Linked DNA regions of Caenorhabditis elegans. The protein of the gene in region 2 interacts with the protein of the main gene of each other region in a pairwise test. Each region holds a gene or a part of one and is shown on either strand. Other genes may lie near its edges.

Region 1 (8,394 bases), on a different chromosome or scaffold from region 2:
AACCTCAAACGGTGGCATTGTTGACTCGAGACCCATTTGAATATGTCCATGAATTGTTGTGCAGTTGTCGGGTAATTTGTCCAACTCACATAATGGGCAATAACAATCTGTAAATGATATATTCAAAGTTATCAAAAGTATTACCGATTAGAATGATATTTAAGATTTTTGCATTTGGCAATTGGAAAATAAAATTTAAAACGCAGTTTTTTCCCTATTAGACTTGCACCATCATTTCTCTATTTTGACGGCTCATATTTCGGATTTCTTAAGTGAACTGTTTCAAAAACTGTTTCAGAATATAGATCAATATTTAGCGCGTATTTTGTCAATTAACAAATTTTTGATAAAACCAAAAAAAACCGAGATAAGCTGGACAGTTAGAAGAGAGTAGTAATTTCTTATAAATTTAATTGTTATCCAACATTTTGCGAAATTTCGTCTCTAAACCAAAACTAACTAAAATAGTAATATGTTTACTATTTCATTTTCACTTACCATCTCCAATTACAAAGTGATATAACTGAGTAAAAAGAGCGGCAATAAGTGGCCATTGCATAAATTCCAGCGCGTTACTCTTTTTCGTTGCAACCAGACGATAGACAAACAAAACTTGTGATTAGATTAACCAACTCAAAAACTGCTTTATTTTTTATTATTTCCGCCCACCCTCCGGAAAGCGATTGTCATAGTAACCAGCGAATTTCGCACGCCTTCTAGCTACTGCACTCGCTGGTTTTTTTTTAATGAAAAATAGTCGAAAGGTGGTTAGTGGGAGTTTTGAAGATTACGTAATTATAGAGAGCAGGATGCTGAACTTTCAGATTTTATTCAAATTATATGATCATTAGTTTCAAAAGTTTACCAACAAAAAAGACAAAATAAGTACATACATACGCTTGAAAAATCAAATAATCATGATTTTAAATACAAAAAAAGGAATTTCGGGAAATTGTCAAATCGTCAAATTACCTGAAAAGTTTAAAAAAATGTGCTTTAAAGAAAAATACTCAAAGTGTTATGAAAATACCACAAAAATAAAAAAGAATGAACAAACCAAAAAGGCAAGTTTCAATTGTGACTGTTCTCCATTTTTAAACTTCTTCCAAAAGTATAAGCCACGCCCATTTTCTAACCACTCAACGTCTTCAAACTCTACACAATCGTCCTGATTGGTTGAAAAGTGGGCGGAGCAAATCACTGATTGGTCAAAGTTTTTATTTCGGAGGGAATTCAAAATCGCGGTTTTAATAGTTCGAATTTCCATTTTTCTGCGGTTTATTTTTCGATTTTATTTTGTGGTTTTTTGAATTTCGGACTATTTTTATGTTTTAAAGAAACATCCTAATTTTAATCTACACTTTCAAGCTTCTGAAAATAAATACTGAAGTTCAATTTGTCAATTTCTTCTCAAATATTTCAACGTTCAGGACAGTTATCATAATCTTCGAGAACCAACAAACCAGCTGCATCTTCCCGCCGTTCATATCCTCATATCTTATTGATCTTTTTTTCAAATTCCCATCGGTTTCAAAACTTATGAGTAAATAGTCAAACAAAGCCTAAAAACCAGTAAAAGACTCAACCAAGAACTTTTCAAAATCCGATCCGCGCACCCCACGCACACCGATTGATATCGGCCGCCGCTGTGTTTGCAGGAGATGGCTGGGGGCGTCTTTCGTCTGTTGCTCCCCAGATCTTTCTCCAACTTCTCTGCGTCTCAAATCTTTTTTGGCTCCCGGGAGCACTCGGCACACTCATCCCCAACTCTCCAAGTACACCCCACTTTATTATTATATTCGATTCGTCTTCTCGTTCTATCCTGTTTTTTTTTAATTCGAAATTCCAATATTTCTAAAATTCAATCCTTATGAGCAGTTCTCCACAAAATGAAGCAGAAGCTCGCGAAAAGGTTTGTTCTAAAAAATTTATTTTTTTAAAGAAAATCTTAAATTCGTCGTTTTCCAAACATTTAAAAATTAATTTTGTGGACAACTGGAAATGAAATATACTTTAAACATCTACAAAAAATAATTATTAGAGACATTCATTGAAATTTTTTATCTTAAAAATATTGGTAACCCTATAACGGTCCTTTGAGTTTTAAAACTTAAATTTAAAATTTTTGTCAATTTTCAAAATTTTTATATTTCGTTTAAGCTCCCTATAGGTGCTGTACAAATTTTCTTTATTTCAAATAGACATTGCAACTTTAAAGTAACGTTTTTATTTTTTAAATGAAAAGTTATTCCACTGATTTTGAGAAAAAGTTAAGTCCCTGTACAACATTGATTAGTTGATTAGTGCAATCATCTCTAACCCACATGACCCATAGATTCTTTCAGATGCGCGAGCTGATGTCACGTCCACCATCGAGTCGACCAGCTGATTTTGTGAATCCTCTCGAAAAGATCGAGCAGTTGCTGACGTGTCCGATTTGTCTCGATCGCTACAAGTAAGTCTGTGATCTCAATCAGCTGTTCGTTTTGAAAGTGAGCAGACGAAATTGAAAGAAGAAGCACCACGGACAACCAAAACAAACTATTAGTGTGTAGTTCAAGGATAGACATAGGCCGTGTGACTTCTGACTGACCACTGTTATCATATGACCTAGGCTAAGTACCGCTTGGCTGAGGGGAATTTTTTTGAAAAAACGAGATAGACTTAGGGGATGCATAATAAACATCCGGTTGTTTACGCACTGTGCATCAAAACAATAATAAAATCAGACAGACTGTTATGATGATTAGCTAGGAGAACGTTATGGAGAAATCAACAATCTAAGATCCTGCAGGGATCTTTTAAAAATGAGGATCATTTTTGGGTTAAATCAACAACGTTTGTGTCAATAAATATAGACTAACCTACGTCAGAGTAAAAAGTGGAACATTAAAAAAAAGAGATGTTTCATTGATCTGTTATAGATGAACAAATGTAAACATCCATTTTAAAAACGAGAACCTTTTCTTGTAAAATATTTGAATAATACACTTATAGTCTCAAAAATAAAATAAAAAAAAGTAAAAAATTTGAATAACTTTGCACGAGACCTCAGACAATCATGACAAACATTGTATTTAGTGAACGTAGGGGTAAAGTTTTTCAAGCTTAGAAGGTGTAATACTATGATATTTTTCAACTCGCCATTTCTTGTTCTGTCTTCTCAAGTTTAATTTCTCAAGTTTTATCTTGCTAACTTTTTATAAATCTTTTTGTTTTTGAGAAAGACGAGTAAGAAGAGTTGGCGTAGTATTTTAGCCCACTAGGAGTGTTTTTAAACATTTTTTCTCAATGGCGATTATCTTCAAAACTCAACGTTTTTATTGAAGTTTCCTAATCATAAGTTTGCCAATTTTTTAGATTAAAAGCTCTAGCTTTTGGGCTATAACCCGGTGCTCATTGAAAATTCACAAAAATACCTCCTGCGATAAAAGAAACGTTTCAAATATTTTTTTTTTCAATTCAATAGATGATTGGAATTTTTTTCGAAATCTTAGAAATCATATGACAATATTTCAACTGGTGGCAATCCACTTTTTAACAATGAAACACTTCAAAATCAATCACACAGTTGTTCTCAACTCATTGTTAGAGTATTTCGAAACAGCTTCACCGTTGTATCTATCTCCATGTCGAACGGCTTTTCCTCTACTTTCTCTTTTCTCTTTTTTACAATCGAGAAGGGAGCCAAGAGAAGACTTTTCAATCGGATTCTCCGCCAGTTCTCAACTATTTTGCCATTGGCTATGGGGCTGCAAAGTGTGTGTATTACACCGATGAGGAAACGAAGAAGCCTGCTGGACGTGATCTCTTTGAAAGATATTTAGAAAGAGAAACGAGACTTTTTATGATTTTTTAAAGTTGTGAAATCGTGAGATATTGACATTGGACATCTGAAGAACTTGGTAGTTGAAATGTAATACTTTGAGCTTTGATTTTTATAGAGATAAATGCTGAACAGAATGGCTAAACTTTTAAATATCAAGTTATAGATTTAAACTATTTTCAGACAACCCAAGCTTCTACCTTGTCAACACACATTTTGCTATCCATGCTTGGAAAGTTGTGCAGACACGTTACATCGCAATTTGAAATGTCCAGAATGTCGAGCAGAACACAATATTCCATATGACGGAGTAAAGGCGTTTCAGGTGTGAAAATAAGTATCACTTTGAAGCAAAATATTTCATTTTCAGCCAAACTACACATTAACCGGGTTTCTCGAGATTCATCTGCAGGCCACACCAGAATCGGCTGCAGAAATTGAAGAGTACATTCACAGGTACAATTTGGAACGGTGCAAGATTTGTGATGAGAAAGCAGACTGTGAACCATGTGCACATTGTGATAGAAAAGCATGTAAAGAATGTCGACAGACTCATATGGATATGCTTAAAAGAGACATGTCGCGACTTTTGAATCAGGTTAAACGGCTTGCCAATCGAATTACGGAAGCATCGGATAATTTATCAAAAGGAGTTGATATGATGACAATGAACTGTGAGACAACAAAAGCAGAAATTAAAGAATATTTCCACAGGTTTGTCTGAAAAGATATAAAAACCCGAAAAAAAAATTAAATTCAGATACCAGAGAGATCTGAAAAAGAAGGAAGACAACTTTCTCATGGAAGTTGATACATTTCAAGCTACTGAGACTCGTAATATGAGCAATCTTCGTGATGTTCTGGAAATTGAAAGTTCTAATATGAGTGAAGCAGTTTCTAGACTGGATGCTGCAATCAAGGTGGGATTTCATTGAATATTTTGAAGCTATCGAGAATTTCAAAAAGATATCATAACAAAAAAATCTTAAAATTTTCAGGGAGAATGTTCAATTGAAGATTCTGAACTTGTTCGAATGAAAAACACGTTTACGGAAGGGCTTGAATATCTTAGGAACTTTCAGGTAACTTTTTAATTTAATTGTTGAACATTTCTTATTGTATTAATGCTTTAGCCCGACGCCGACGAACTTTTTAATCGAAAACTCCGATTCTCAGCTGGAGATGATGCTGCTAAGCTTCCAGCAGCGATCACTACTTCTGGTGAACTTTGTGTTCTAGTTCCTCAATTTTCGGGAAGGTATATTTCAAAAACTTCAAAAAAAACGAAAATCTTTAGTCAATACTTTGTAGATACCTCCCTCTTGAACAATCATACCTTCCAAGACCATTCCGTTTACCATTGGAAAGTGACAGTTATCGGGTTAAATCTGACGAAAGAGCAAGTATGAGAGATCGAGAAGCTGATAGGACATCTTCAAGGCACAGGTATGTTCCATGGGAATTGGTTTTGGTTTTTTATTAACAAACGTGTGATTTTTAGTCAAGTAGTTTAGTTGTATAGTGTAGAACACTAATTATAGAAAATCAACATTGTTAAGGTGTCAAAATGAATCTACGTCCGGTCTCTGGCTCTCGACTTCATGTTTTCAGTTTTCTATGTAACGGCTTATTGTTGCAATTTACACTCAAATATAGTACAATTTATGTTTTATTCATTAAAATATCTTAGAGGTCGCCAGAATTGTGTCAAGATGCTAAATTTGCCATGCCAATAAAAATAATAATATTTAAGAAAGGGGCAACGGACAATTTAAAAAACTATTTAAAAGTTAATTATTTTCAAAATTTTATTCGAATTTTTGAAGAAAAACGGCTAGACAAAAAAGTAAAAGCGTTTCCGCGTTTTTATGTTGGTTTATTACTATCCAATTTTGGTTATTTTTTGGCCAAACACATATTGATCGCCCTTTATGAATATTAAATTTGGCACCGGCATTTTGACATAAATCTATTGAAGTTATAGTTCAATTTAGCTTGGATAATTTATTAAATGTATAATCTCACAATTACTTCTCCATACAGTTTCCCTCTCTAAACTATCCTCTTTTAATTTCAGTCATCGAAATCCTGAGCCTGATGAGTCCTCGATTCGTTACCGTCGTCGTCAGCAGCTGGAAGACGAAGCTTGGAATCGTCTCCGTAATTCATCTGCTGCTCCTTCTCTTCTTACTACATCAGTCACTGCGGACTCTTCATCACGAACATCGCCGTGGGCTGCTGATCGTGTCACCCGATCAGTTGAACCAACCAAGTCACGGCCAACAAGTCTGATTGTTCCGAATACTGAAACACCAAGAACTGTATCTCCAGCTAGTAAACCTCCTCTTCCACCACAATCTGTTGAACGGGTTGAGAGGACTGAAGATGCATCACCTGCTCCACTTCCACAACTTCCGATCCGAAAGCCACCTCTGCCACGTCAACAGTCCAGTAACGATGATTCTTTGAATGAGAAAGTGGAAACCATCCGTAGAGCTCATCAACAACGTCAAGATGCATCTAGAGCTGCATCAAGAGCAGTTTCAAGTGAAGAATCAGAGGGAGAGGATTTTCCCGTATCCACCAACCGCGGTAGAATACGAATAGTTTGTCGCGCGGCATCTGTAAACCGTGATGATGGACTGATGAGTATGATCCCAGGAACTGGTACGATCATAAATGTTCCGCCACCTCAACATCAACTTCCGGCATCCGCTCCGATCACCAATGGGACATCTGAACAAGTCGCGATTCCAGTCACACATTTCACAGGTGAGGAAGACGAAAGTGACATCGTCGTGCCAGCGTGGTTACAGCGTCGGAGGCAACGCTTCCAACGCTCGCGCACAAATCCCGACATACAGGCACAGTTCACAAGTGCTCGAGTGCAGCAGCTTCTCGCCGAACGTCAATCTCGTTTAGACTCTTCTACGACAACCGACGAAGAGAAAGAGAAGCTTGCCGTTTTGCGACAGCGTGGCCGCAGCGCTTCTCGTGAAGCTGGTGAATGGAGGGCTCGTGGTAGACCACGTGCAGTATTCGGACGAAAAGGTGCGAAGGATGGCGAGTTAAACTGGCCACGTGGAATTTGTGCATTGTCCGGAGGTCTTGTCGCAACTTGTGATTCGTCTAATCATCGTGTCTGTGTTTTCGATAAAGATGGAAAATTTGTTCGTCAGTTCGGAGGCTACGGTGCCGGTGCCGGACAACTTGATTCAGCTGCCGGGCTAGCAAGCTCAAAGCTCCGAGTTATTGTATCCGACAGGTACAATCATCGAATTTCCGTTTTTGGATTGGAAGGAGATCATTTGTTCTCATTCGGTGGACATGGACAGGGAAATGCTAAGTTCAATAATCCATGGGGAGTTGCTGTCGATGATTTGGGAAGTATCTATGTGGCTGATAAGGTAGGTCAACTATCATGAGACGTTTCTCAGTAATGCGAAAGTTCATAATTGTATACATTTTGATAAAAATTAACTTTGTTTATTAATTATCATCAAGAGAAGAACTTTGTTTTTGTAGATTCATATATTGCAGGCAAACCGGACGTCCGGTATTTTGAGTATCATTTTTTAATTTTTTTTTTTTTGGAAATTCGGACGCCGGACATTATTGTGGTCCGCTTTGCAGATCTAGATTAAATTTTAAAAAACATTGCCCCACATGCTAAAATACAAGTGAAGCTTAAATTATAGGATAATCACCGCGTCCAAGTCTTCGACAAAAATGGTCAATTCATTGCAAAATTCGGATCTTTCGGACATCTACCTGGTCAACTAAACAGTCCATTGTTCATAGCAGTTAGCAGAGTTACTCATCACGTGAGTGATTCCAGATAGATTCATGAATCATTCTGAATCGTTTCAGGTGTATGTATCAGATTCTTCGAATCATCGAATCAGCGTATTCGATCCCCACGGTGTTCATTTGTTTTCATTCGGCGAGGAAGGTTTTCATGGTGGACAATTCAAATTCCCACGTGGAATTGCTATTGATTCACAGGTAAGGCTGGAATGCTAAAGAAAAATTCTAAACCATTCATTTTCAGGAAAACCTAATAATCGCCGACTCCGGTAACAACAGGATCCAAGTTTTCGACGCCCAAGGTCAATTTGTCTCCTCTTTCGGAACTTGGGGTGGAGGAGCTGGACAACTGAAAGGTGTCGAAGATGTTTGTGTCACTGCTGACGGTTCAATTGTTGTCACCGATCGCGAGAATCATCGCATTCAGATCTTCTAAATTATGTTTTTTCGGGCCTTATTCTTGTTTCATTTTCAATTAAAATGTCTCCTTTGTAATTTTCTGTTATCGATACCGATGCCACCCAACTTTTTAGTGTTTTCATCTTTAGGTACAAAGCACTTTTACAAGTATTATTAATTATTATTACCCATTACGACTTTCGGTTTTAAAACACTTCTGTTTTCGAGTTTCAATAAAATATTTATTGAGAAAAAGGAAACATTCATTGGATTTCCGATTGCATTCGATTGTGGATTCTAAGCTTTGAAAGTGAAGAGGCAAGTTTGGCCAGCTGTTTGTTGGAAGACGGTGAAGCGCTCGT
Region 2 (6,222 bases):
ATCGATTATATTCGAAACAATTTCAAAAGGGAAGTTGTGATTAATCATAAATTAACAATCTAATTACTAATTGTTCAGTAAATCACTTTAACGAGCATATTTCAGTGATGATTTCACTATTTAATGATTCAGAGCTATGCTTTCCGATTTTTGCATTTTACAAACATTTCTGATCGCATTGATAATCTAAACGTTTTAAAAAGTTTAAGTAAAATTCAATAAATCTGCTATACATTTTTTTTTCTTAATTAATAAATGACTTACTCTGTTTCCGTCGATAACGTTGACGATGGCAGCAAGCTTGCCTTGGTCTTTGCCGGAGGCGATGAAGACGACGCGCCCAATTTGAACGACACGGTTGAAGACCATGTTTACTGAAAATTAAATAATAAATCAAAATTATAACGCGTACATTGAGAAGTGAAGAAACACCGAAAAAATTGACTTCACCAGCTAAAACGATATATTTTGAGCAAAAACTTATGATTTTAGTATTAATCGATAGACAAACTGGTTCTGAATTTTTCTTATATCGTTTTTATCACAGAAACAACCGAAAAATATCAAAAATTTGCTGAAAAAGAAGAAAATTTGGGAAAAAAATCGCAAAATGAGTAAGACAGCCATAGGCTACGGTGACAATTTCGTGGCGAGACCCACATGGGGCGGGACACGTGCAAGTATGCGGCGCACCCAACGCAACTGCGGCGCAGTTTATCTCATCTTTTTCATTGTAGGAAGGGGAACTTTGCTCAATTGTTTGCTCTTATGTAATTTCAGTGATTAATGTATGTATTTGTACTGAACCTGTATGAATTTCATTAAACCGGTGAATTTTCAAAAAAGTCGTGTTCATATTTTAGGAAAAAGCAACTTAGTCCAGTTTTTCGATATAAATTGCATTTTGTAAATTAATACAGGATGCATGGTAAAGTTTTATTACTGAAAACAAAATAAATAAAAACAATTCTGCGATATTCAGTAAACATAACGGGAATCAATTAATTTAACTGCATCATCTTCTGCCATTTGATTCATAGCATCGCGCAATCGGGAAATTGATGAGTCTTCAAGTTGTTCAAATTGGTCCAAAAGAATCATAGTCGGGCTTGAATCGTCTCCCGATGAGCAAATAGAAATAAGTTCCACCATGTGATCACAATTGAGTTGTTGTGCCAATCTTTGCCATTTGCACTGATCATCAAATATTTTTGCAACGCGAATTCGGGTCAAATAATCTAAATTGCAGACCGAATCACTAAGCTTCGGATTCCGATCCCATTCACTTCGACGCCTTCGTGTTCCCGACGATGTTGAGGGTCCCGGCTGTTGCTCATCTTCAGATTCAGATGTGGATATTCTCGAAACACGTGGAGCCATGGAGTCAGTTTCAGCGAGAAGAGTTTGAGCGTCTACAAAAACGGATCTAATTTCAAAAAATCTTTCAGAAAACATACCATTTAATATTTCTTCTCTAGATCTCTTCACAACTCTGTGCCGCCCACTCTCTTCACCTGGAGCCTGATCTGGATGAGATCTCCCAAATAAGGGAGATCTAGAAATAGCTAAATCATTAGGAACACCAAAAGCTTCTTTCTTGGGTAGTTCGGGTCTATCTCCATTTATAATGTTTTGAATAACACTATCTTCACTATCTGCCAAGCATATTCCTTTAGAATTTTGTCTATTCGGATCAGCTCCATTATCTAAAAGAAGGCCAATCACTGGATAGTTAACGTTTTTTACAGCCAAGCTCAATGCAGTCTCTCCAGATTCATCTTCTATATTTGTTCCTGATCCTCTCTGAAAAAATATTAAATTTAAAACAATGTTTTTCTATGTACAGTTACCTCAACCAAAAGCTGAATAGTCTCAAAATCATTCATTTCAATTGCGTGCATCAACGCATTTCTTTTCTTTTCAGTATCCAAAAAATCAATCAATGCTCCCGCTTCAATGAGCATCTCAATCAACGACAGCTTCAACCTTCTTACTGCCACGTGAATCGGTGCAAATCCCTCCGAATTCAGCTGATTCACATCAAACCGTTGACCTCTAGATGGTTCTAATATTTCTTTGAAAATTGATTCATTGTATGCATCTCCAAGATAATGTAGAGCCTGAGAAGTATTGAATAATCTACACAAAGCGAACATTTTGTCTGTTATATACTTACTGTGCTCCCATGATTATCTGATATGTCAATTTTGGCTCCATGATTCATGAGATAATGAACAGCATCGGGATCTCCAGTCCTTATAGCTACATGTAGTGCAGTAAGACCATGTGTGTTTTGTACATTTATCACTTCTGAAAATATTACCCATATGCAAAATATTGCGCCAAAAATAAGATCTCCGGTCTCGACACGACAAATTTTTGCTAAATGAGAAAAGGTGTGCACCTTTAAGAAAACTACTGTAATATCAAACTTCTGTCTTTGCAGAATTTGTTAAATATAACCTTCAAAACAAACTATGAAAATTTACAAAAAATTGTCGTGTCGTATTTTCTGCGCGAAAAAATGCGAAATTTCGCGTCTTGGTGATATAAATACTGAAGTTTTTATGCCAATTCAATCACAGGTGCTTTAAATAGCTTCGTCTCAAAACATCTTACCATTTTTAATATCGGGTGGAATCACTGAAAGTAGAAGCTTTAATGAGAAGCTCTGCCCATTCTTCGCTGCCACATGGAATACTCTGGAATAAATTATGAATGTTGTAAAGGAGAGGAAAACTTGAAATCTTACGTATTTCCTTCAATATCTTGTTTTGAAATTTGTGCTACAAAAGGCTGAAGTAATGAAATTGTGTCTCCGTTGGTGGCAAATTCAAGTAAATTGTCAAAAAGCGATATTTCCTGAGTATGCGAACGTTGGATTTTTCGTGGCAAGTATTTGAAAGAAATCGTTGTCACATTATCATTTGAAGTTGAAAATCTGAGCTCCACTTCCAATTCTGAGTCTACTTTCAGAGAAGGGACTGTGAACATTACAAGCTGTAAAACATCATTAATTATATAAGTTTTTACACAGATTTTGTTACAGATTACGGAGAATGGGTACAATTTCAATGCGAATTTTATCATTTATTGAAATTATATTATTTTTTCAGTTTTCCCTTTTACGAAACGGTCCTTACCGAATGTTTCCTAACAACATCAATTGCACTCTCTTCAAATTGATCGCCTAGAAAGTGAATTGTGATGAGTTCAGTGGCGTCTCCTGTATTAAAAAGAAAGATTTTCTTCATCCGACTGTAACTTAAACTAACCAGCACCAGAACATGTTGCCCAGACGCGATCACCAGCAGATGCTTCAATAGTTGAAATATCATCAATGAATAACCGGCGATGTTGACTTGAGGATTTATGAATTGATGATGTATGGGAATTTATCTAGACAATAATTTGATATACTTTTTTATATTCATAATTGCTCGCTTCTAGAAAGTGCTTGATTATTTTCTTATTTGGCTCATATGCCATCAGGGTAAAAATTTTAAAAACTAATTTTATAGAGTTAAAATGACCAAATATAAGTATATATCTGTTCTGAAAATTTTTGATATTTTCCACCAAAAAACTGGCGATCACACAGTTTTCGCCATTCTCAATTTTGTAATTGTACCAAAAAAAAACGTTTTTTTTCTACCAATTTTATATTTACTTTATAATTATGTTTCAAATATTTGTATTTAACCATTTTAAAGGTTCAGATACGTAACTTTGCTTTAGATTTCTCACAAAGTCCAAATGGTTGGCAAATTTGGAAATTTACCAAATTTTTGACTGGGAATTTTTAGAGTTCTTTATTATGATATTTGGTTATTTTGGAATTATATTGATTATTATATTGAATATATTGATTCATATAATTCAGTCAAAATCCTCATTGAAGCTAATATATTTTTTAACTACAGTACTAGTAGTACTACTACAAACCTCTGAGTCTGATCTCGATTTGTGAACTCCATTTTCTGTGAGATTAGCATCATTTTCATCAGCTTTAGACATTATTAGAAAATGATTAAAAAACCAATAATCAAAATGAAACGAACGAGAGGATATTAGAATGAGGGTATCCCGCGAGAAAGCTTCTCTCCAACGACCACCGCCTGCTCGACTGTGTGTAAACTCGGCAAATGCCTATGTCTCTTCAACTTTTACACTATTCGCACGATCTTTGGGTTCAAGCACTTGGTCGATCGGAAAAGAGCGCGAGGACAATCTTATGACAATCTGATGGGGATGAATGAAAATATCAGCGGATTTGGAGAGAAATAGAGAAGCACAGAAAATGATGATGTGTTCGAAATGAACTAGAATGTGATATTGACCACGAGCTTACACGTAAATATCAGACAATCTAGATACTGTGTCAAAAACATTTGTTAGATAACTCGATAAACAACTATGCCAACCTAATAATATGAGGTCATATTTGGAGCTGATCAGAGTTCTCCAAGAGATCTAACAGTGGTGTCACCTTAAGAGGAGATATAATTTTTTTTTTTAAAGATGATGCAATGGACACTTCGGAATCAAAGTAAACAAATACCCAATTGAAAGTTAAGACAACTGTATTTAAATATTTAAAAAAATTTTAATAAGGACGTTGTTTTTGATAGAACTATTAATATGTTTCTATCAAATCGAGAGATCTGCAAAAGTTCTGATTTAAAAAACCGTTGTCCAATCAGCATGGGATCAATTGTGGCAAAAATGTTAAGCTTTTCGGTTTCTGAACTGCCTACTTTTCATTGATGAATTTTTTTTCCTTTTTTTTGGAACGAAAAAATTCGCAAAAAATTTTCCCGTGGTGGAGAGTTGAACTCATGTTTGTTTGTTTTTTCTGGACCCTTTTTTTTTCTTTTTTTTTGGGACGAAAAAATTCGCAAAAAAGCTCAATTATTGTTACAATTAAAATAGTCTGCAGATAAAACATTAAAACCGCTTTGAAGTGTTTTTTTTTACTCTACGTTATTTAGAAGTGTTTCATCACACACTGTAAATAAAGCACAGATTTCTGAAATAAAACAATAAAAGTTTGAAATAATCCGAGTGTTTCTTTCTAAGTATCTTTTGCATTTGCAAACATATCGCTAGTTGGAAAGTCGAGTTTTTTTTTCAGAAATAATTTGCAGTATTTGCAAGACTAATTTTCGATTTATAGTCAACTATGACTCAGAGTTAATTGAACGGCAAATAATAACGCCAAGACAGTGTGCACTGATAAAGTGAACAATGTTTTGGTAAGGTGACGGTTTACTGTTACTTTTTTCATTTTTCATCGATTTTTTAAATGTATTCCCTGTGGAACCACTATAAAAATATAAAAGACTTGATATTGGCAAAACTATATCAACAAAACAACAAAATAACTTACCGTTTTTCCTCATTAGTATTGCACCCAATTGTTCAACTTTGACAGCTTATACTATCTCAGTAATCGTTTGTACTATTCAAAATTTGTCATCTAACAATATATTTTTTAGTTCTTTTTCTATTATTTCGTAGTTTATAAAATATTGATATCTTTGAAATGAATCGAGATATAACGTTTCAAAGTTAAGTAGCCGGTGCCATACTAATAGAGGAAATACGGTAAAATTGAGAGGTTTAAATGTCACCAAAAATTAGATAAGGGAAAGAATGATCTTTAACCAAGTCTTGCCCGAGTTTGATTTAATTTAAGCCAGGAAAGTTTGGGTAAAATATAAAAAGGAGAAGAAGCTGTCGTCCCTCAAGCATTGACTTAGGATCGCTCTCGTTCCGTTAGTTCTCCTGAAATATAATTAATAGGTACGAGGGGGTCGTCGCCTCAAATCCTCGTCTCACCCTCTTTCCACCAAATCTTTGTGTACAATTGTTGTCCCTTTTTTTACTATTTTTTGTGCCTATGCCATTTCATTATCACTTTTCGAGTGTATATTCCAGCACCAAAAATGTTACAGATGAAGTAGGTTAAGGATTTGGAATTTTGGTATTCTACCAAAATTTTAACTGAAAGTTTTGAAAAATCTGAAAAATTTTGGAATGTTTTAACAAAATATATCGTTTTTAATCACATTTCAGGTCTATTTAGAGACAATATTTCAACTGGACAAAGTTTTTGAAACTTTGGAGTTTTGCCAAAAAACATTCTTTTCTTATTTCTAATCCTTCATTATCGAGAATTCACTTCTTCTGTAGAATTCTATATCAATGCCTAAACAATTT

Evidence for each region.
Region 1: the proteins of ikb-1 (region 2) and nhl-1 interact in a two-hybrid assay, tested with the Caenorhabditis elegans proteins (2 studies listed by BioGRID).

What each region holds. Positions count from the first base shown.
Region 1 is NC_003281.10:9,147,281-9,155,674, reverse strand, and holds nhl-1 (RING finger protein nhl-1), read left to right. Parts: upstream 1-1,772; 5' UTR 1,773-1,870; coding exon 1,871-1,912; intron 1,913-2,345; coding exon 2,346-2,455; intron 2,456-4,009; coding exon 4,010-4,151; intron 4,152-4,196; coding exon 4,197-4,540; intron 4,541-4,586; coding exon 4,587-4,746; intron 4,747-4,824; coding exon 4,825-4,908; intron 4,909-4,959; coding exon 4,960-5,084; intron 5,085-5,137; coding exon 5,138-5,272; intron 5,273-5,903; coding exon 5,904-7,233; intron 7,234-7,524; coding exon 7,525-7,650; intron 7,651-7,696; coding exon 7,697-7,831; intron 7,832-7,877; coding exon 7,878-8,069; 3' UTR 8,070-8,280; downstream 8,281-8,394. Other genes in the region: Protein irld-34, read right to left, coding at 4-107, 499-559; ZK512.8 (uncharacterized protein), read right to left, coding at 8,330-8,394.
Region 2 is NC_003279.8:9,683,349-9,689,570, reverse strand, and holds ikb-1 (Death domain-containing protein), read right to left. Parts: upstream 4,174-6,222; 5' UTR 4,018-4,173; coding exon 3,946-4,017; intron 3,400-3,945; coding exon 3,276-3,399; intron 3,227-3,275; coding exon 3,144-3,226; intron 3,001-3,143; coding exon 2,753-3,000; intron 2,703-2,752; coding exon 2,620-2,702; intron 2,311-2,619; coding exon 2,177-2,310; intron 2,121-2,176; coding exon 1,851-2,120; intron 1,804-1,850; coding exon 1,458-1,803; intron 1,413-1,457; coding exon 979-1,412; 3' UTR 918-978; downstream 1-917. Other genes in the region: rpl-14 (Large ribosomal subunit protein eL14), read right to left, coding at 265-369.